4 linked regions of the Drosophila melanogaster genome follow. The gene in region 1 interacts genetically with each later gene. Each region holds a gene or a part of one and is shown in the gene's direction. Other genes may lie near its edges.

Evidence for each region.
Region 2: of rst (region 1) and X11L, changing one enhances a phenotype caused by changing the other (phenotypic enhancement), as found in Drosophila melanogaster (one study listed by BioGRID).
Region 3: of rst (region 1) and pyd, changing one enhances a phenotype caused by changing the other (phenotypic enhancement), as found in Drosophila melanogaster (one study listed by BioGRID).
Region 4: of rst (region 1) and alpha-Cat, changing one enhances a phenotype caused by changing the other (phenotypic enhancement), as found in Drosophila melanogaster (one study listed by BioGRID).

Annotation. Positions count from the first base shown.
Region 1 is NC_004354.4:2,970,821-2,975,422, reverse strand, and holds the start of rst (roughest), read left to right. Parts: upstream 1-1,588; 5' UTR 1,589-2,022; intron 2,023-4,602. UniProt on the Drosophila melanogaster protein: Required for correct axonal pathway formation in the optic lobe and for programmed cell death in the developing retina.
Region 2 is NC_004354.4:17,597,763-17,605,633, forward strand, and holds the start of X11L (X11L), read left to right. Parts: upstream 1-1,845; 5' UTR 1,846-1,917; intron 1,918-2,228; exon of another isoform or gene 2,229-2,659; intron 2,660-3,010; 5' UTR 3,011-3,143; coding exon 3,144-3,542; intron 3,543-3,617; coding exon 3,618-4,157; intron 4,158-4,219; coding exon 4,220-4,333; intron 4,334-4,389; coding exon 4,390-5,331; intron 5,332-5,393; coding exon 5,394-5,709; intron 5,710-5,933; coding exon 5,934-6,073; intron 6,074-6,211; coding exon 6,212-6,217; intron 6,218-6,308; coding exon 6,309-6,674; intron 6,675-6,732; coding exon 6,733-7,209; intron 7,210-7,279; coding exon 7,280-7,420; intron 7,421-7,475; coding exon 7,476-7,547; 3' UTR 7,548-7,871. Other genes in the region: CG12991 (uncharacterized protein), read left to right, coding at 1-164, 249-422, 485-616.
Region 3 is NT_033777.3:8,861,335-8,866,337, reverse strand, and holds the start of pyd (polychaetoid), read left to right. Parts: upstream 1-1,989; 5' UTR 1,990-2,096; intron 2,097-2,804; exon of another isoform or gene 2,805-2,836; intron 2,837-3,332; exon of another isoform or gene 3,333-3,344; 5' UTR 3,345-3,555; coding exon 3,556-4,275; intron 4,276-4,385; exon of another isoform or gene 4,386-4,458; intron 4,459-5,003.
Region 4 is NT_037436.4:23,335,073-23,339,921, reverse strand, and holds the start of alpha-Cat (alpha catenin), read left to right. Parts: upstream 1-1,821; 5' UTR 1,822-1,875; coding exon 1,876-2,047; intron 2,048-4,849. Other genes in the region: ND-MLRQ (NADH dehydrogenase (ubiquinone) MLRQ subunit), read right to left, coding at 242-388, 446-487. UniProt on the Drosophila melanogaster protein: Associates with the cytoplasmic domain of a variety of cadherins. The association of catenins to cadherins produces a complex which is linked to the actin filament network, and which seems to be of primary importance for cadherins cell-adhesion properties.

The DNA of each region.
Region 1 (4,602 bases):
GCTTTTTGTTATAGTTTGTTGGGGTGTTTATAAACAATTTTGGACTACGCATATGTAGAGGAAATGCCCTGACTATGCAACAACGTTCGCCTTATCTTTCGTCTTTGTGTAAATTTAGAGCGCAATGCATTGATATTCCCATACGGCGGCCATAAATTACATGACAATTACTTGGGGAGCCGAAGAAAATCAGCGGTGCTTGGAAAATCCCCCCTCGAAAAGGCAAGCAATGCGTGGAAAGAGGCGCGAAGAGAGAGCGGAAAATTGGAAGAGAGCCGACACTTCATCACTCGCTCCGAATTTTCCGATTTTCCGGCGGTGCCTCCCTCACACGCGTAGTTTAAATTGCGTTCGCAGCAATCGTGCCATAAATTTCCCTTCCGAAACTTGTTTATTTTGGTCTTGCATGTCTCCAGTGCCGAAATCTTCCCATCCAACAGTCCATCTTCATCGCTGGTAGTATCTTTGTATCTTTTGTATCTCCCTATCTCTCGTGGAGCGCACAGCTTGTGTATCGATTCAATTATGGGAAAACTTAGAATCAACTCATCATGCAGTCGATTGATTAACAAGTCGCACCTAGTAAAATGGCTCCCACAGTGTTTGAGTTTTCAGCTGAGCTTGGCTTTACTACAAGTGTGACATTTGAAATGTTCTTAAGCCAACTAAAATTATGCATGCAGCAAAAAGCGCAGGAATGTTGGCACTTCAAAAAAGGGCTGCTTAATGTAAAAATTAAGCTAATTTAATGATAAATTAATAGCTTCTTTTTGAAAATCATGTTAAACACTTCTCTGTGTGGTTCCCATGGGATTTCCGCCGTTTTGTCAAGCCACAGATTTGGACTTTTTACTCAAATTGCTCTGTAGAGGACCATATGTCGCTCTTCACAGCCCTTCTGGCATTCCACAATCGGAAGAAAGACTGCAGATTTCTACCAAAACGGGAAGAATTGTGGGTGCGAAGAAGGAGGAGAGATTGGTGAACAGCTGCTGTCCCGACAGCATTGACCTCTTGACGGCCAATTCTCCTACTTTATCTCAATCTGCAGTGTTTAAAGGGTTTATACTTTATGTGATCTTTTTTTTTTTGTTTTTTATCTTCTCCGGCAACAGTTGGTGGTCCACACTTTTGGCGGAAGGTGGCGCTGCTAACAGCAAATCAGAGTGCAATTAAGGCCAAAAGACAGATGGCCAAAAATCGTGGCACATCGGCTGGCAATATCCCCAAATTTGCGTGCACAGAAACAAAAAAGATATGTATAGCGAACACTAAATTGATTCGTATAAATAATTTATAATATTTTTTAATATAATTTATACATTGCATCTGAAAACTTATAGTAAATATATGATATGAAAACATATATCCCATATATATGGGAATTTAAAAAAACATTGGCTGCCAAACATAATCCAAATGAATAACAACATAGAACAGAGGTTGCATCGAGCCGCGCTGTTAGCCCTGTTGCATGCTGTTAGAGCCTGAAACACCACTTGCAACATCATCGAACATGTTGCGTCGCTTTGTTTTGTTTGAAGACAAGCCGCGCCGGCCGAAGAAGTCGGATTTTTGGATCGAGTTCGCACTTCGTTCCGTTCGCTCGTACCGTTCGCTTCGTAGCGGCGGAAACTCCGTACTTTCGATAGCTGGTATCTCACAGATACTTTTCGAGACCCCGAAGACGAGAACTCGCATCGCATATTCGCCCGAGAAAACTCTCAGTAAATCTCAGATAATTAAAACGAAATATATAACTAAACGTCAATTTTTTTTTTGGTGCAAACGCAAGCCAAAAAATTTCATTTTGGTGTGGATTACCAGTGGAAAAGTGTGTGCTTAAAATGGAATAAACAAGGCTATCATAAAAACAAAGCCCGAAAAACCAAACAAGCTGAAAATTGTCAACCCAACAATTATGGATTAGTGCCAGTGGCCGGTCAGAGTCAGTTAAAAATATATATGCATATAAGAGGACTAAGGAGCCGAAATTGTTTAAATTGATTACAAACAAACAGTGTGAGTAAAAAAGTTCATCAGTAAAATCTAAAGAAAACTCCTGTGCTTTTGGCTTTTTTCATGCGCCAACTGCAACAGCTGCTCCCTCACTTTGACCTTTTCGTTTGATTTTGTTTATAATATACTGTTACTGGCCAAGTCTCCGCCTCTTTTGGCCCCTCAAAAGTTTCGCTTTTGGCCACTTTGGCATTTGGATTTCGAGTTTGCTTGAGTGTATTTTTTTTTTTTTCGAAGAAAATATATGTGTTTTTAATTGAAAATGGAAGCATGATTTTTGGTTGTAAGTAGACTTTGTTAAAGCAAAATTTATATTTTCCTTTCTGCCTAATGAAATGCCCAATGGCAAGTACTAGTTGCTGAAAATATTAAAATGTAATAAAATATAAAATAAATTAAATTACCATCTTTCGAATAACGTTTAGATCTTATCAATCTGAAAATGAGGTTTATTATACAAAATCTATGTTAAGTTGTATATCACAGATATACTTTCCCCTCTACAATAATAGATCTTCAACTCCAGACCTTGGACACCTAATTAGCTTCTTCTGACCATTCCATCCCTCTGAGCATCTATAGAAAAAAGTGCTCTTCTTAACTGATTCGATCTCTTCTTTCCTTGGTTTTGCATGATTTATGATTTAAAGCAATAACTTTGAAAAACAAAATGTACAAAGCTAGTCAACGATTAGGCATTTCGTAAGCACTTAAGTTGAAAAATTAATATTAAATGTATAGAATGATTTTTTGTTCGTATACAAGTATGTACACAAACAAAAAATCTACTTGAATATATGCTAAACAATGCTAAAATCATTCTGAATAATTTACGGCAAACGATAAACTTTAATGAGTATAACATTCAACTTCAAGTTTTAATCTACATAATAGGCAATGTATATTAAATGTGCGCTTTGGTGTAATTCTTTAATGCGTATATTTATTTATAACATTCGAATGGTATACCTATTTCAATGGTTTATTTCTGACATTTATGGATTAATTCATTTGGTTTTAAGTAAATAAATTTGCAAATACATTTAATTCCTTTTGTCATTGATTAAGTGAAATGCCAGTAATTCGACTCTCTTATTGACACATTCAAAAATCATAAATCAATTATTCCAAATCCAATAGAAATTTATTTATTACTCATAAAATTTTTCTCTGTGTAACTCCCCCCAGCTGTAAGCGAAGAAAATGTTGCTAGCGGCTGTGGTGTTAAAGAACAGAAATGCGAGCTAAAGAAGCTGAAGGCCCAGAAGCTTTACCAATACATCGATACATTGCACACAGATACTCAAACATCTGCAAATGCATATACAAGCGTATCTTCAGACTCACGCACCTGTCCCTTGTCATTAAAAAAGCAAGCAAAGTTTCAATCTTCTTTGGCAAGCTAACCTTTTACTTACTCTGCTCCATCCTCTGGGTTCATATATGTCGCATGATAAACACCGGAAAAATATTGATTGGCTGGGAGATTTGCTAAAGCACGATTAAGAAAACTAGTCTCAAAAAAAGTTAGTCTTTGACCAGAAAAAGTATTTGTTCTTTTTTTTTTTAATTGAAATTAACTTATTTTCATACTTATTTATCTTGATTGAAGCTCCTATAAATTCATTTTGAATAACGTTATTAAGTTTTTTGGTTTGAAAACAAAAAGAAAAAATATTTTTAAAGTGTATTTGGGAACGTGTGTGTAGCTTTTGGATTTTATAATTTGGCCCAATTTGCTGGCATTGCAAATTGCTAAAAACGTCTGAAACAATCGACAGGAGGAAATTGGGGAGTGTGGGAAAAGGATGGCAAAAGAGGCGTTCGGTAGGCGTGGCAGGAAGTGCAACATGCTCATGTCGCAAGTTGTTGCTGCCGCCTGTATTTCTCCTGCACTTTTTGTTGCTGTGTTATCGATTGGCGAGGCCGCATTTGTTGGATCGTTTTGACGCGTCCTCGTCAGCATGTCGAAACTTATTTTTCCTTTTCAATTTCGCCCTGCGATTTTGCATTTTTTTTGTTTTTTTTTTTTCGCCTGCCTGTCGCTTTGTTAGTTCTTTGCATGCCACAAATTATGTTCGTCACCCCCTTTTGCCCCACCGCGCTGGATGGATTACCTTGAGAGCGGAGCTGTCAGGCTTTTTGACAGTTTCTGCCGTATCGGTTCCACCGATTTGACTGCTGCGCTCATCCGTTTTGCCTGTTTTTTTTTTTTGTTTAAGAAAGTGCTTCGTTTAATGAATAATTGGTATTTTATATCATTTAGGTACAATAAGAAAAGACTTATTGCCTGGTATTTGCATCTGCCAGCTAATTTCTCATCTCATCTCTAAAAAGAAATGCAGACGAGGGCATTCGAAAGGCAAGCAATTTATCCCTTGGTTAATTTGGTTAATTGAAGACAATTGAGGGCCGCTTTGCAGTTCATTAAGCCTCATCAGCGTTGAGAAATGGGGCCCAGAATCCAGAAGTCCAGAAGTCCGAATCCCAGATCCAGTTCCATCTATACTTTCCATTTCCAGATCTGTTGTCTTGTCGCCAGACTAATTAAAATATTTGCACTCAAATGCTTAAGCAATAAAT
Region 2 (7,871 bases), about 15 Mb from region 1:
AGCACATCAATCGCTACATCAACTTCTCCGGCGACACCAAGAGTCTTCTGACCAGATCCGCCTCCGCGGCGCCCAGCGTGGCGGGGGGCGTGGCCGGATCCGGGTTCTACGACGGAGGCGTCGGCGACGAGGGCAATATCTCATCCGAGGCACTGGCCATTCAGGTAGGTGAAAACTAATCATTGCTAAATTCGATATCATTTGAAAAATTGGTTTCAAAAGTAACATGCTTTTTTTTCCATTTCCAGCGAACGTACTTCCTGGATGCGGGTGCCATTTCGGCGATTTGCTTCACTGTCTTCGGCGTCTGCTGCACAGTGGGCACCATTGGGATCGTACTGTACCGTCGTCGGTATCTGAACAAACCGCAGGCGCTCAGCGAACCAGACTCGAGTGTCTATATCGATGATAGCACGATGCGGGTGAGTGTAAGGATTCGTTGACCAATTGCCAGTGGCGCTTGAATGTCCTATGCACTAAATAGTTCTCTCTCTTGATTTTGCAGGACAATTCGGATGAGATGTACAGCCTGGACAACGACTCGTTTCTCAATTCGCTGGAGGCGATGACAATACAGAACTACTGGACGGATACGGTCAAACATACAAAGCTTTAATCTCCGGCCTTCCCCGTTGGAAGTCCAATCCCCTCTATCATTTATTGTACGTCTTTGGTTCGATTTCGATTACGATTCTGTTTCGTTTCGCTGTTAAAATTCCATTCCTGATTTGACAACCAGACATCATAATCATTAAGTAGCGTAGTTTTTAAGCGCGTGTATGTATTTACTAATGTTAGGCAACCAAACGAGCAACTAGTTTAAGCCCAAAACTACCAAAATTATGTTTAGTGTACGTGTAGATCCTAAGTGCGCAATGTTTTTGTTGGCCTTGACTGTTAGTTAAAGCCTTTCCCTAACAACTTCCCCACTAACCCGATTTTTGTAAACCAACCCATTGTACTCGTATCTGTTAGTTAATTATTAAACCTTATTTATATTGTTGACTATTTTATCGCCCTTCCCAACCCAAGTCTAATTTTAGAAAACACTATTTATTAAGTTTCCAACTTTGTGTCCAACAATTAAATGCAATCATTCCTTCCAGTTTAGCCTATAGAGCAACTTTACACTGTAATTAATGTATTAAAAGCGAAGCAAGCAAACAACAATTAAAAGAAAACATCACACAACCACACACCGGTGTTGCTAGAATTTTTGGGAAAATAATCCGTGTCTAATTCCTAACTTAATTCATTAAGTTTTCGATGGAAAAACAAAACTTGCTGTTAAAATTTTAATTGCTTGATAAATCTTGAACGAACGAATTATTATCACTGAAATTCTGGCAAGACTGCAAGAAATTGTTTCAATATACACAAATATATAAAACGAATTATAAGCTAACGAAGAACAAGAAAAACTGTTTACTGCCACACAATCCTTGTCAATTTTGCTCATCGAACTTTTATACACCACTTGTACTTGTACTATCCGTTCGAATGTTGCAAATATTAAACGAAAAACAAAACCCAGATGGAGTACATTAATCATTAAATGCTAAACTGATATTATTCGAAAAAGTGTTATCAATTGGCGCGGGAAATTCATCGTACAAGGAGTGTTGGAAAAGTAGACGGTACCGCGTAATTAGGGCAAGGTACAGGAGAAAGGGTAAAGTCAAGTAAAGCTGGGGTGGAGAAGGAAACATATTTAAATATGTTTAAAATGGCTTTTAGCACCTACTTAGGTACGAATTGAATAGTACCCTCTAACGCTGCTCAACACTGTCCGGCTGTTCGCTGTCGATAGCAATCGATAGGCCATCGATGTTCTAGCAGAGACTATCTATATTGCTGCCAATCGCTCTGCGCCAATCGAGTTGCTGAAGGAGTAGTGCAATAAATATGAATTAAATGGTAAATATAAAACCGCGACAGGTGTTGTTTTCGTGCCTATTTGCTGGCCGTGTTGTTGTTGCCGCCGTTTCAGTTGTTGTTGCTCGAGTGCGCTGCGTGTGTGCGTCGTTATGCGACGAGTGTGTGCATGAGTGTGTTGTGTTGTGCGGTGCCCCCACCAAAAAATAACGAAACGAAAAGCAAAGGAGCTGCAAAAAAAATACGACAAATCTATTGATTTTTAACAATACGCACATGGATAGATACACATAACGGTAACGGGGAGTTTGTTTTTTTCCCACGCCTCCAAAGTGCTGAGTGATTGCAACAATCGGCGACAACAAAGGGCTAGCACCAGCACCACCATCGCCCCCTGGCACCACCCACTTGCACCACCCACCACACATCCTTCAACCTTCGCGTGGGTGGTTGTTGTGTCTGGCTGCAGCTTCCTGCGTTTGTTTTGCCTGCGCGAGGACTTTTGGAGGCCAAGTTTACGTGTGCGCAATCAACCACGGACACGGTAGCTCCGGAACTCGGAAACTCGCAAGCTCGGTCAGTGGCAACCGCGGCGGGGGGCCCTAAAAAAGGTGTCCACATATAGACACATGGACAGGCAATAGTGGGTTAATTGCCCGCATTGATTGCGCTGGCCAGCCAGGGGGTCACCACAACCAGAGGTTACCAAACCAGTGCAGCAACAAACCGAAGCTCGAAACAATGGAATACTTATTATTAGCTAAACTCAATTACATTTAACGAGGTGAGCTAGGACCTGTAATAAGATACAAATACACATGAGAATGATTAGGGAATGATTGGGGCAAACCCAATTTAAAGCAATAGGCTTAGGTCCAAAAATAACAAATCAGCAATTTTATAGATTGGCATTTTACTGTGCTGGTTCCTGTTGTCCGTATCGCGTATGTCTAAACACACCCGGTAATCCAGGTATTTCTATGTCGATTTAAATATATAGTACGCAGCGGCAAGGTATCCAGCAAAAGTACGTCATCGACACGACCACCTGTCCCTGATTTTTTTCTGGGCTGAGCTGCAGCGCAGTGAATCATTGCCGCCTTAGATCATCGACTAATCATCCATTCTCCCCCAGGCAGTGGCCCACAGTGAGGCAGCAATCGCAGCAGCAGCAGCGGATGCAGCAGCAGCAGCACTAGAGCAGTAGTTGTAGTAGTATCGAAGCCGCAGTCCCTCATACCTGGAGAATCAAAGTTGTTGGTGCAGCCATGAACTCAAACTCCTGCAGTGACAGCAGTAACGAGTCCATGGTCAATCCACCGCACATACAGATGAACTTTGGCCAGCAGGCGCAGCAGCAGCAATCGCATCAGCACCAGCAGCAGCAGCAGCAGCAGGAACGTTATGTGTGGGAGATGCGAACCCGTAGCCCAAATGTGACGCCAGCCAGCACGGTGCTCAATTCGCCGGATCTCAATGGCGAGCTGTCCTACGTTCCGCTGCAGGGTCTTTCGCCATCGGGCGGAGGTGTTCAGGGATCCGGCAGCTATGGTTCGAATGCGGGACGCGATTCTGGCAGCTATTACTACCAGCGACCGCAGTTGCATCAAATCCGACTGGGTAGGAGTCCGGGCAGCCAGTTTGAGACACGGGATGTCCTGCCACAGGTAATTTAACTTGGAGAATTACTTAGAGGCGTAGTTTCAGTCACTACAATGAGATTTTTCTGCTTTTTCTTTAAGGGATTGGCCAGCCCCGGCTCACCAACGGATGTGGGCAAGGCGGACGGTCAGTGCCTGCGTGATGGTGAGATCGTGGTGTTCGACGACATTGACACAAACTGGATGAACAAGGCATCGAGTGGCCAGCGTCCAGGCAGCAATGAGGATGTCCTCAAGGTGACCAAAATGATTGGACAGCTGCCAATAGCCGAGTACGAGGGTTCACCGCGACGATTTGGAAGTCAACCGAATACAAATACCATTACCATGGGTGGTCCTAGAAAACGTCCGCCGGGTTTCCCGCAAAGAGTTTCGCCCACCACCAGTGTCGCTAATAATGCAACTGCTGCAGCTAAAGCATCCGTGGGCAACCTTATCGATTTGGTCGACCACGAGGAAGAGCGTTCCGGGACGCTTCGCGAGAAAACACCTACTTTCGACTACCTGTACGAATTCTCAGAGACCAGAAAGGTGCTGGAGGAGTTCTTCAAGGCGAATCCGGAGGACGAAAAGCGGTACACGGATTACACCACGGAAAGTGGAGACGATGTCGCTAGCTCGGTGAGTACTACTACTTCCAAGAAGCCTAGAAACCCATTTAATATTGCATTTTGATTGACTAGCAGCCACAAGAGTACCCAGCCACGCCCATGGAGCAGGCATATATAGGACAGCGGTTGGCGAGAATACCTAAAGATGAGCTCTACATGGTTCACCGGTCGCCTACTAAAAAGCCAGTGAGTCATAACGAAATGAAATTCATTAAAATAGCTAACGATTGTTCGATTTCTAGCCCAGTGACCAGAATCCATCGACGGCCTACCAGGAGCATAATGATATTGAGCTGTACATTGATTCGAATAGCCGAAGCAGCGGCGATTTGGCGGACACCGAACTGGAGGCAAATCTGCGCCGACACTCCCGAAACTTTACCCTGTCTCCCGAGACGACGGATTACGATTCGAATTGCGGTGATTTGGACAGTCTGTCTAACGACATTAACTGCCCCACGGATTTTGGTAAACTGTATACGAGCATGCCTGTCCTAGAAGATGGCCTGAGCAGTGGCCACGCCTCCGACACGGAGAACAACGTATCCGTGGTGTGTGACAAGCAGCAATCGTCCCAATCTCAGCCCGTCCACGAGCACAACGGTAATGGCGAGCGGCTGGAGAACGACTACAATGTGATGAGCGCCAGCTTGGCCACATTGACCACAGATGCCTCGCAATCGGCGCTGATAAGCGACTTCGCCTCACTGCCCATGCCCCCGGCTCCGCCTCCATCATCGCCGCCCCAAATCGAGATCGCCGATGCAAGTGAATCCATGACCATGGTCCCAGATGCTGATAATCCACTGGACAGTCACTACGGTGCGGTTTATGCAGCAGCTTTGGGAGGTACTCACACAGAGAAGTCAGCGGGATCAGGACTGGGGGTGACACCAGTAACTGCGGGAGGATCTTTGCCATCGCAGGCTGCTTCGGAAATCCAGGAGGCCATGAAGGAGATACGTTCCGCCTTGCAGCGTGCTAAAACGCAGCCTGAAAAACTAAAATTCTGTGACGAAGTGCTGCCCACGGATCCAGATTCACCGGTTTGGGTTCCACGCAAAGGGACGACGATCTCGACGGCCCAAGGTGCGGCGGCGGATGAGGAACCAGACACCGACCTTGAAACAGATCGTCTATTGGGTCAGCAGAGGCACGATGAGCAGGATTTCTTCGCCGATCAGGTGAGGAATGCAAACTTACAGAGATATCAGCTCAAAATAATTACGAAATAATAATTTTACAGAGCCTGGCTGATAACAATGCCAATGAGGGCACGGATATTGCCAGCAATGGGCATCTAAATGGCACGTCGGACAACAACAATCCGAATCCTATGAATAATAGCAAGCCGCAAACCTACTCGACGGCCACCATTCGACAAGGCATCGGCACCTCGTTGACACCCAATTCGCCGGACATCTGTCAGATTGTGGGCACGACCGACATCTCCATAAGCTCGCCGGAAAAACTGCAGTTCACCAAAAGTCCCACGGGCTCTATTAAATCCCTGAAGGACTCTGCCAACTCGGACAAGAAGGCCAAATCGCGGAACAAAGAGGGTAAGTTAGCACAGTTGTCAACGCCCCTTGTTGTTCGTTTACTGATATGGAAACCGATTCAACATTTCACGCTGCAATTCAAATCTATTTAATGCTGACATCACGTAAGTCTCTGTTACCCAGCAGATGTTTAGGTTTATTAAACTACCCTTATGTGTATTAACAATCAGAAATGAAGACCATTAACGCACTTCGTAACTAATTTAAATAATGTTCGTTCTTAGGTCTCTTGGAACCCAAAGTTCTCATTGAGGGCGTGTTGTTTCGGGCCAGATACCTTGGATCCACTCAACTTGTCTGCGAGGGTCAGCCGACCAAGTCGACCAGAATGATGCAGGCCGAGGAGGCCGTTTCCAGGATCAAGGTAAGTGAAGTGAAAACCTGGTGATGCACACGAAAGCACATCCATTCAAGGAAACCCCGCTAGGTTATGCTCTATGTGTGTGTCTAAAAACTTTCTCGTTCGCTTTTCTCGTTCCCTGCTGCGCATTCCTCTCGATAGGCTTTGGTAAGCGTTCGTTAGCCCCTTTCAGTCGTCAAATGATAGCATTAAGAATTAAATGCATTATATAATATATGATTTGCTATTTTTTTACCAGGCTCCCGAGGGCGAAAGTCAGCCGAGCACTGAAGTGGACCTGTTCATATCAACCGAAAAGATAATGGTGCTTAACACGGATCTCAAGGAGATCATGATGGACCATGCGCTGCGTACTATATCCTATATAGCTGACATTGGCGATCTGGTTGTGCTGATGGCTCGTCGTCGATTCGTACCGAATAGTGTTGTGGATCCATCGATCACCAGTCCATTAGGTGATGTTCCCACTCCGGGCATAGGCGAGGAGGAGTCGCCCCCCAAAGAGCCACTCAGCAAGCACAATCGCACGCCCAAAATGATCTGCCACGTGTTCGAAAGCGATGAGGCGCAGTTCATAGCTCAGTCCATTGGACAGGCCTTCCAGGTACGCGAATATTAATAATATTATTGGCACGTATAATTAACAATCAAAACCTAACCAGGTGGCCTACATGGAGTTCCTGAAGGCGAACGGCATCGAAAACGAGAGTCTGGCCAAAGAGATGGACTACCAGGAGGTGCTCAACAGTCAGGAGATTTTCGGTGATGAGCTGGAGATCTTTGCCAAAAAGGAGCTGCAAAAGGAGGTAGTTGTGCCGAAGGCGAAAGGCGAGATCCTAGGCGTGGTGATCGTAGAGAGTGGCTGGGGATCCATGCTGCCCACCGTGGTGATTGCCAACCTGATGAGTTCAGGAGCAGCTGCCCGCTGCGGCCAGCTGAACATCGGTGACCAGCTGATCGCCATTAACGGCATGAGCCTGGTGGGACTGCCGCTGTCCACCTGCCAGAGCTACATACGCAATGCCAAGAACCAAACTGCCGTCAAGTTCACCGTTGTGCCCTGTCCGCCTGTCGTCGAGGTTAAGATCCTGCGTCCCAAGGCGCTGTTCCAGTTGGGTTTTAGTGTTCAAAATGGCGTGGTAATTATAAAATGCTGAATTTATTCTTCTTATTCTAATCCTTCTAATCATATGTATTTATTTAATGCAGATCTGCAGTCTTTTGCGTGGAGGAATCGCTGAGCGGGGTGGAGTACGCGTAGGCCACCGCATCATTGAGATTAACAACCAGAGCGTTGTGGCCGTGCCACACGATACCATTGTCAAGCTGTTGTCATCCTCAGTGGGCGAGGTATGACGCGTTTTTAAATTCGTTATTCTTATATTAACAATACCTTTCCAATCAGATCCTGATGAAGACAATGCCCACGTCCATGTTTCGTTTGCTCACCGGTCAAGAGACGCCAATCTATATATAAATATATATGCAACTGTTCACACGCCTACGCTGGAATCGAAAAACTATAAATTCGTCAACTGCAACTTGACCAGCTTAAAGTTACATCGATTCGCAAAGAGACCTTAAATTGGAATTTGTTTAGTCTTAAATTGTTCATTGATTATTTGTCTTTATGTATTCACATTGCAAGCATAATTGTAGTTAATTTAAATGAATTGCAAATGTATTAAGTCTACAATGAGATTAATTGTTCGTCGTCAAATCGTTCAGGTGTCCACAGCGACCACAACTGCAATAGAGAGATTACTATTACTGGAGTTACAGAAAATGCTACTTTTTGGTT
Region 3 (5,003 bases), on another chromosome or scaffold:
CCTAAAAGAACATTTTACTTAACAATTATGAAATACTTTCGGTTAAATGCCCTTTTAGCTTTCCCACTGATTTCTTTTGTGTTTCGGACCGTAGTAAATTGTCTGTAAAAAGTCGTGGCCAAGTTAAGTATCATAACTAGAACGTCTTCCGTTCAACACCTCATTAGGCGAACTTTTCAACAGAGGCCGAAAACGACTTTTAATTGTGCCCACTGGACATACACAACCCCTGAAATTTTTTTCTGGCGGGAAGCACAATTGTCCAGAGGGTGAACATGATAAATGCCTTAAATAATGTTCTTTTGCCACCAGAAAATATCCAAGACATGACCAAACTCTAGTGGAGCAATTAAGTGCCAGACCAACTGAAAATGTCATTTAACATTTGTCAGGTAAAAATAAAAGTAAAGCACTCAAATAAAAAACAGCAACAAGTTGCAGACTAATTAAATAATTGAAACATTTTACGTGGGAGTCGCAAAGACACAATGACAAAGAACTAAATGTGTGTGCAAACGAAAAGCCAAACAAATAAAGACATAAGAAAAACGATTCTACAATGTCGCAATTCGACTATGCCTGCTATACGGTGCCCGAGTGTTCCACGGATGATGATGATGATAATGACGATGAGCTGGGCAGTAATGTGACCCTGGAGAACAAGGATCATTCGGATTGCACCCTGGAATCGGATGCTACGACCACCACATCTTCACTGGAGCGTCATATGTATAGGAATCGGTATCGCTCTAATAGAAGTTTCGGACCACAGAGGGTTTCCATGCCCATTCTCAGATCCAGTCGATCCAGGGAGATGACGCCCCAGTTGGGCATGTATCATGAGGGACCGAATCGAGATCCCCAATGGGGTTACTTTGTACCCCTGTCGCCCAACTTCTTCTTTAGTCCACCGATGCAGAGGAGGCGTTATAGGTAGATTTACATTGTGTTTAGTACTTAAAACATATTTAGTTCTATTATTATCAAGTAAAACATACATTGAAAATTCTAATAAATTAAATTTAAATTTCCTTTCAGGGAAAAGGAAAACGATCGCAATCGTCGCGCTGTTAGTTATGGCGGTGACGCCACCTCCTCCCCCCATTCGGCCACCATACCCCGCGCCGCCCCCCGTCGGGTGGCCTTGATGAAGGATCCACCGCCACCGCCGCCACCCAAGCCGCAATTGGGTTCCAAAGCGGATTCTGTATCGCATTTGGCCAGCAAATATCCCCAATCCGAGTACAATCTCATACAGAAAATCGACTCGAACAGCACACTCACTGCTCCGGCGCAATATCAACCGCAGAATTTCTACGCTAATACTGGCACCATATCCTCTACGAATGGCTACGGATCGCTGTTATGTCACGCCAGTTCGACGACCAGTCCGCTGGCGGTCCGGAAGAGGGACAAACTGCTTCATCGCTTCAGCGATGCCGCCACCTTGGGCCGGAAGCTCAAGAAGAAGAAGAACACGAATCGCACCTGCAGATCCATGACGGAGGCCATTGAGATGCTGGCCGATCCCGTCATCGAAGATGAATTCTTTGTAAGTACAATGATTTATGCAAAGAAAATATACGTATTTCCATGGAATTAGAAACATAAAAATCTTTTGGAGCCTCTTAAAACAAAATAGAGTTTCTCAAACCATTTTTTGTCATAACATCATAGAACTTGATTGATATGTATTAAATATTTGGGTGTGGTTTTAAAATAGCTCGAGGTTCATCGTTCAAACCTTTTCATTCTTGGTTTTTTCCCCCAAACATCTGCCCCATTTCACAATTTACGCTTTTAAGGGGTGTATTTGTTTGGCTTAAGCCCCTCATTTCGTCTCATTTCACTTGGGCTCTGCTCAGCTCAGTCCAAGCTTTATCGCAATCACTTTTGTTCTTGTATTCTTCTCCGGCTGGAAACGCTATCCATTGGAAAATGTTCTCGTGTCCGATAGGCTCTTCAAATTCATTGAATTCATTTCAGTTTAGTTCGTATTTGAGCCTCGTCGCGATTGAAACGAAAAGAAATCCACACCAAAAATAAACGATTTTCGTAGGCGGAAGTGTTAGAAAGACAAACCTCAAACAGATAAGGTGGAAATAATAGGAAGTTGACAGATTGAAACTGAGAAGGGCCATTGAATTAAGTGGAGTGACAGAAGTGATAAAAGAAAGGGAAAATTTGAATATATTAAACAAGAAAAATGTGCACTTAGACAGAGGGATTTATATTTGGCCACATCTTTTCCACTTAGTTTTTAACTATAAATTTGGATATTATATTTATGATCCCTGTAAGATAACCTTGAAAGTATTTTCCGACGGCTGAACTCAATTCGCAATCATTAAGTGAAAAAGGGGCGTCAATAATACTATCAAAAGTTCAATAGACCGCACATTCATTGACCCAATCGGGGTACCTTTGAGTTTTTGCAATGTTTTGAGCTTGTAAATTGGTATTGGGGTCGATCAGGGCTAAGCCACAATTATTTGCCAAATCAGTCTTTAATTAACGAACTCAGAGTTGACAGATTAGCATGGCTCTCTTTCTCTCTATTCTCCATTCTGTCTCATCCATATGACAGCTCGGTTGACAGTTCAGGAAGACGAATGTGTCTAACAAAACAAGTGACTCGCAAACTGTGTCAATACTTTGGGTTCGAAAAACAATTTACCTTGCGCAAAGACGACGGCTCGAAAGGTGAACCCCGGCTAATTGGATTGGCAGTGCGTGCCTTCCAGCAAACAACAGAAAAGCAGAAAAAGTTGTTGCAATAAAATCAAACAATTGCAGTGGAAAATCGAACGTGCAGTGTGCCGAACGTGTTGGTCGCGTAAAACCCTTAAAAAATCGGTTATTTTCAATATAGTTTATAGGGTTTATCTCTTTTTTATTGGCCTCTCTCAGGCGTTTTTAAAAACACAAATGTTGCCTGCTTTTGTGCGCTGTTAAACAAGAACGCCATGAAAAATAATTCAACCATATCTATAGCATACTTTTACGCGGTCGAAAATTACATTTGAAAAAGAACAAAAAGTCTCTAAATTAACTCAACACCCTTGAAACACTAATCTGGTTTTATTTTTTTTTTTTTTATATATTTCCAAAGGAAAAAAATATAATTTTGCGTGATCTAATTTTACATGTAATCATAAAACATTCTATCGTCAGTCTAAAGACAGTGTAGATTTTATGTAAAATTAGCCAAGTGAACCTTAAAATTTTTGTTGTTTTTGTTGATTTATTTTATGGTTTTAGTTTGCAACAAATTGAATTTTTTAAAGAACAAAACATAAGTTTCTCACAAAAAAAAAATAATACTTTGGTTTCGACCGTGACAGGACTCGAACCTGCAATCTTCGGATCCGAAGTCCGACGCCTTATCCATTAGGCCACACGGTCGCTTGTTCCAAGCACGCTTAAACTCGAAAACATTTGATACGTGTGCAAGCAACCTACAGCACAAGGGTGGATTTTCTGTAGAGCAAACATTCTGTTATCGCGGGGTGCAAATACAAACGAACAAAAACGAAAATTAAATACAACAAAAATATGAAGCCCAGCACGCGACGTCGCAGTTTCAAAACGAAACCCCCCAAATCGAATGTATATAACCCACTCGTTCGCTATCGCCCGACAGCCTATGTCCGAAATGGAATTATTGGCGGCGCCGAGGGTCCCGGCTCGAGTGGAGTGTACCAAATCGCGGATAGGGTCTATACCACCAGCAAGATGTTTCTACGCGATGGCTATATGTACCCGCGTCAACCGGGTCAGACCATGGATCCCCGTTTCCCCCTCGAGTTGCACGAATTCCCTCAGCAATTCGGCGCCACTGGCCTGCAGTTGGTTAGTGCACCCAAGGTTCATATAGCCGGCGAATATCTGGCCAGTGAACAACAGCAGCAGCAGCAACAACAGCAGCAGCAGCATCAACAGGTGCAGGAGCAACAACAATTGGGCAGAAGAAAGGCTGCGGCAGCCGCCGAAATAAATTTGGCAAATCAGGTTTACTGGCTGGGCAAGCAAAAGACCAGATCCCGATCGCGTAGCAATAGTGTGGGCAATCGGAGCATAACCAGCTGCATGGGCGGCGGTGGAGGGGGTGGCGAAAAGGAAAGGGAACGCGGCGGGGATCGAGATCGCCCCTATATACGCAACGTTGACGATCTTCTCCAGGCACTGGGCAAAAGGGATGGGGGGGATAACAACAGCAATCTGCTCGAAACTGCATCGACGCACTCCTCATCGCAGCGAAGGCGCTTCAAGAAGGTGAGATACAGACTTACAAAGTGTGATAAATGCAACCAAATGCCCTCAAATCTCATTTTCATAAAATAAATAAAAAAAATTCTGGATACAAAAGAAAAAAGTTAATTTTACGACCGTGACAGGACTCGAACCTGCAATCTTCGGATCCGAAGTCCGACGCCTTATCCATTAGGCCACACGGTCAGTTGGCAACTCTGAAAAATATGACTAACATAAAGACGGGCTTTACAAATAATTTAGTTCACCGTTAACAGTTGCTAAATCGTTTTTTATCCGAATACCTCATTTGAGATTATAAATCTAGAACTCTACGTTAAAAACAGTAAATATAAAAATCTTTATGACAGGACTTAAAGTTGGTTATTTTACCCCTCAGATAGAATATATATATTTAAGGGAAATTCCTTGATTTCCTAATATTAAAATTCTTTACGCCATTGAATACCACCACCTCAGCCATCAATCACCGCATTGCATTGCTCTTGGGCAACATCGAAATTTGTCAACTCGCGTTGCAACACTTTCAATTGTCGCTGTGGCACCTTTTTTTTCCATTTGGCCACCTTAATTACATTCGTGGATGTATGTATGGAGGTAGTGTGGCTCGTTCCGCCAGGTCATCATCAGTCATCACTCGTGGCTTGTCTGCAGTGTCCAGAATGGAGGCAGTGAAGCCTACCGCCCCTGGGGTGCGTCTGCGCAAAAATTAAAATTAATGATGTTCAAAA
Region 4 (4,849 bases), on another chromosome or scaffold:
CTAGTATAACATCTTACTCTACGAGTAACGGGTATAACTACAACTACAACATAGTATATATTCGTGAAATATATATGTGTAATGGTTATGGCATGTCGGTTAAATCGCCAAAAAAGTAAAAAATTGCAAAAATACATATATCTATAAGCAAATTTGGTTATTAACAAAACCACGGTCGAGGGCTTTTCTTGGCCCATTAAAATATGAAAATAGAATATGAATATTAAGGAGCAAATCTAACCTTGTATTGCTTTTCTTTGTACTCTTGCCATGGTTCGGGATTTGATGTGCGATTCCAAGTGACATCGGGATTACGAGTAGCAAGTCGAGCCATATAGTAGACGGCTCCAATAGCTCCCGCTCCAACGCACACATAAAGTGGAATTAACTGAACAAATTTTTGTTATGCAATCAACAGATAACTTAATATAATCATAAAACTTACAGCTGGATTTTTTTTAAGACTTTGCAGACCAAGACCTTGCATTTTGTCTACGTTATAATTAAAATGTATTTAATATGTAAGAAAGAAACACATTTATAAAAAATTACCTAACTTTACTCAATCCAATAAAACAGAATGGAACTATATATTAGATATGGACATATTTCGATGCCAACAGCGATGTCATCGATGTTTTCCAAACATCGGCAACTCGATGTTGACTCAAACATAAAAATATATGTATTCATAACAGGCAGATGTCATATTATTTTATATGTGACATGCCAGTATTAAGCGATGCTGGTATAGAATGGGAACTCAAAAATCATGCACATAAATATTTTTTTTTACATCTAAGGAATATATTATTTTATATACGTAATTTTTATGCATGCTTGTCGCACAGGTTTTATGTTAGGCTGTCATAATAATTTCAAGCCGCCGGGAACGATATAATCTTCTGAAGTAGTCATGCATTTTTGTTACATTTTGTTTATATGTCGAAAGGATTTTTTTTCAATAATAACAAGAAAAAATGCTATGTAGACTTTCCCGACTATTAAATATCCGTTACTCAGCTAGAGGCAATATGATCGCGAAATATCATAATTTTTCTGGGACACGGATAGAAATTGGTGAATGCAATGAGAAAATATTTAAAATTGTTCAAAAATGTGGGCGTGGTCGTTTTTTGGTCGGTTTGTATCGTTAGAGTGGGCGTGGCAAAAAGTTTTATGACAAATCAATAGAAATTTACAAAACTAATAAATATATGAAAATATATATCAACACAATTTTCAAAAGTGTGGGCGTGGCAGCGTTAGGCGTTAGGTTAATATCATATGGTTAATCTAAGCTTTATAGCTTATATTGTTCCTGAGATCTCGACGTTCATACGGACGGACAGACGGACACGACCAGATCGTGTCGACTACTGATCCCGATCAATTGTTCCAATGCTTCCATCAGCCTATTAGGAACTTTTAAACGATTCTGGTATACCCTATTACTCTACAAGTAACCGGTATAATAATAAACATAGAAAACAACAATCCTGATATGTGTGGAATATGTTAATTCATTAAATGAAATATTTTTGTTGGTAAAAATTAAAAATATTATTAAACTTTTCTCAATCGTCTTCAATACTTGAATATCACATATTTTTCACGAGAGTTCAATCATCAAAAATCAATTTTAATTATTTTCTTAAAGTCATTACTAAAGAATGACTCACAGGACTCAAAACTACAAAACTATTTAACTTATTCATTATATATTGGTTACGTTACGTAGGTCATGTGGCTCAGTGGGACTATGATATATTTAAAGCCCGCATTCTTTACAGCACTGCAAAGTTACAATCCTGGTACTATTAATAATCAGTGGACTACATATTATCGAAAAAGGCGTCGTCGGTTAAAGAATTTATGTTAAAACCTGATAAAATGGGCACGTTAACCGATTTCGGACAGATAGCTTTGAAATGGGATCCCAAAAATTTGGAAATTCGCACAATGTCAGTTGAAAAAACACTTGAACCCCTTGTATTACAAGTAACTACTCTTGTAAATACCAAGGGCCCAAGCAAAAAGAAAAAAGGTAAAATGTTTATAGCTTATAGTGCCTAGAAAACCTAAATATTAGAACTTTCAATTTTAAAGAAACTTTTTGCGAGTCGTGAATAACTGTGCGTATACTCATTTTAATTTTATTAATTATAAGTATTGTGTACATACGAGAAATGATAGAAAATGTTCTAAAACGGCTGTGTATACTATACATACATATTGTGACATCTTAAATTTTGTAGGATAGAAAGCATTTGAATTCATGTAACAAGCTTAAAACTGAAAAGGAATGTGAAAGCATCTTTTACCTCTTTAAACGCAAAATTGCGAAAATATAAAAAAATAGCCTATTAGTGATTTACATATATTTTGATTGTGTTTCATTTTGTTATATGTATATCTTTCCAATTTCTATCGATATGCAATAAAAATGTTCAAATTTATAGTTCGCTTGGCCACTAGCTGAGTAACAGGTATCTGATAGTCAAGGAAATTTACTATGGGGTTCGCTGTAATATATATTTGTTACTCGTAAAGTAAAATGGGGTACTAGATTCGTTGAAAACTAAGTATGAGGTAGAAGAAAGCGGTTCCAAAAAAAAAATATATATTCTAGATCAGGATCAATAGCCGAGTTGATCTGGCCATGTCCGACTTTCTGTCCGTATGACAAAGCGTTTTCATATGAATTCATATTTTCATTAGTCTTTTAAATTTCTATCGATTTACCTTTTTTTTTTATTAGAGTTTATCATTTATTATTAGTCATACGTCAATAGGAATCGTTCAGTTCCTTCTGAACTTAACCTAATGTGTAGCTTAAGAGATATGGATTCCGTTCCTTAATTAAAGTGTATACAAATGTACCGTGGAGAGAATCGATTTATCAAAAAACGTTTTGCAACGCCCACTCTAACGCCCAAAAATTGGTTTTCACACAAAAATGTTTTGGTATTTTTCATACTATTTTATTGATCTTGTAAATCTATTGATATGCCAAAATACCTATTGTCAGGCCCACAAACCGCCCAAACTTTTTGAAAAATATATTTCTTGTTTAAATATAATTATTTCTTTTTCAATTTTTACCGATTTTCCAAAAAAATTGAAATCTTTCACACTTCTAGTTGAGTAACGGGGTATCTGATAGTCGGGGACTCGGTTATAGCATCCATTCCAGTTTTTGTTTTAAGTCATGTCAATTCTTTTTGCAAAACCATTTTGGTCAGGAGAACTATATACAGAACTATCACAGGATGTAAACAGCTGTCAGGCCCTTAAAATACAATAAATTGTTACTTCATATTATTTAATTACTGTTTTTATACCCGTTACTCGTAGAGTAAAAGGCAGAAGGAAGCGTTCCCGACCATTAAAAGTAAATATTTTTTGGGCTGGCTCCAGCTCTCTTGAATTTTTGTTCAAGAGCCAGATTTCGGAGAGCTCTTCAGCCAGCAACTTCATTTTACGCATACAGTGACAGCCGAAAACTTTTTGTGTGTACACGAATACTCATGCATTGTAAATTTGACAAAATATGCCCTACACTTCAGAAGTTTTTGGAATTTAAATCTATATTATTTTTGGTCAATTGGCATTATTTTAAAAATAATTTTTTCCTATTCGTATTATTTTTATGAAATATATTTTTTTAAATGTATTAAACTGTATGTGTTAAACTACAAAAGTAATAATAACTATTCCATATCGCAACTTTTTTTCATTTATAAGTTTAAATATTGATGAACCTAATATTAATGCTGTAAAAAAAAACTTCTCCCAGTCCCCTGTTGAAAACTCCAAACATGTTAATTCGTTTCTTAGATCAAAATTGATTTCGGCCCGAAAATCGTCTTCTAGCACAAGTACGCACACATATACACTTTCACGTTTAAACGTTACTCACACAAGCAACCAAAGTCTATTATTTTACGCTCTCAATATTATTCGAGAGAAAAGAGCACAATCTTGGCCGTCACCAAACAAGTAGCTGCTTAGTGAAAAACCAATGTATGGCCCTTACGCATCTTGTTATTCTAGTGTCTTTGATCTGACCCTGTCCGCCCTTCTGTCTGTCCGTTCGTATGAACCTCGAGTTCTCAGGAACTATAAAAGGTTGAGATTAAGACATTTACGCAGCTCAAGTTTGTTGACCCATGTTGGCACACCTATTCTACCGCCCAGAGCTGCTACGCCTGACCTTTGGAAAAATGTGAAGTTTTTTCATATTTTTATTAGTCGTGGAAATTTCTATAGACTTGCCAAAACTGTATGGTAAAAGAGTATACCAGATTCGTTAAATTCCGACTATATAAAGTATATATATTCTTGATCAGGATCAATAGCCGAGTCGATCTAGCCATGTCCGTATGAACGTCGACACATTAGCTAGAAGGTAAAGCCGCCCTAAAACCGCCCAAAACTGACACGCCTACATTTTTGAACCATTTTTCTATGTGCCTAAAATTTTTTGCCACGCCCACTCTTACGCCCTAATTTTTTATAATTTTTTTAGTCTTGTAAATTTTTATCGATTGACCAAACACTTTTTTTCGCAAGTGCGAGAGTACAAGATAGATAGAGGGCGAGAGAGAGTAGCTTAGACAACGAAAGATAATCGCCTATCTGAGATGCCGTAGAGCTTAATGTTGTGTCTCCAAAGTTGGCATGTTTACAAATAAGAAATTTAGGCATTGCTGGCTGATGCAAGACCCGAAAATCGATTTTATTAATGTGATCATTTGATCATTACTTAATGCCGTTTTGTTTTCTTATAAAAATCTATTTTCGCTAGCCCCATTGCAAACGATTTTTTTTGACGAAGCGTAAACAA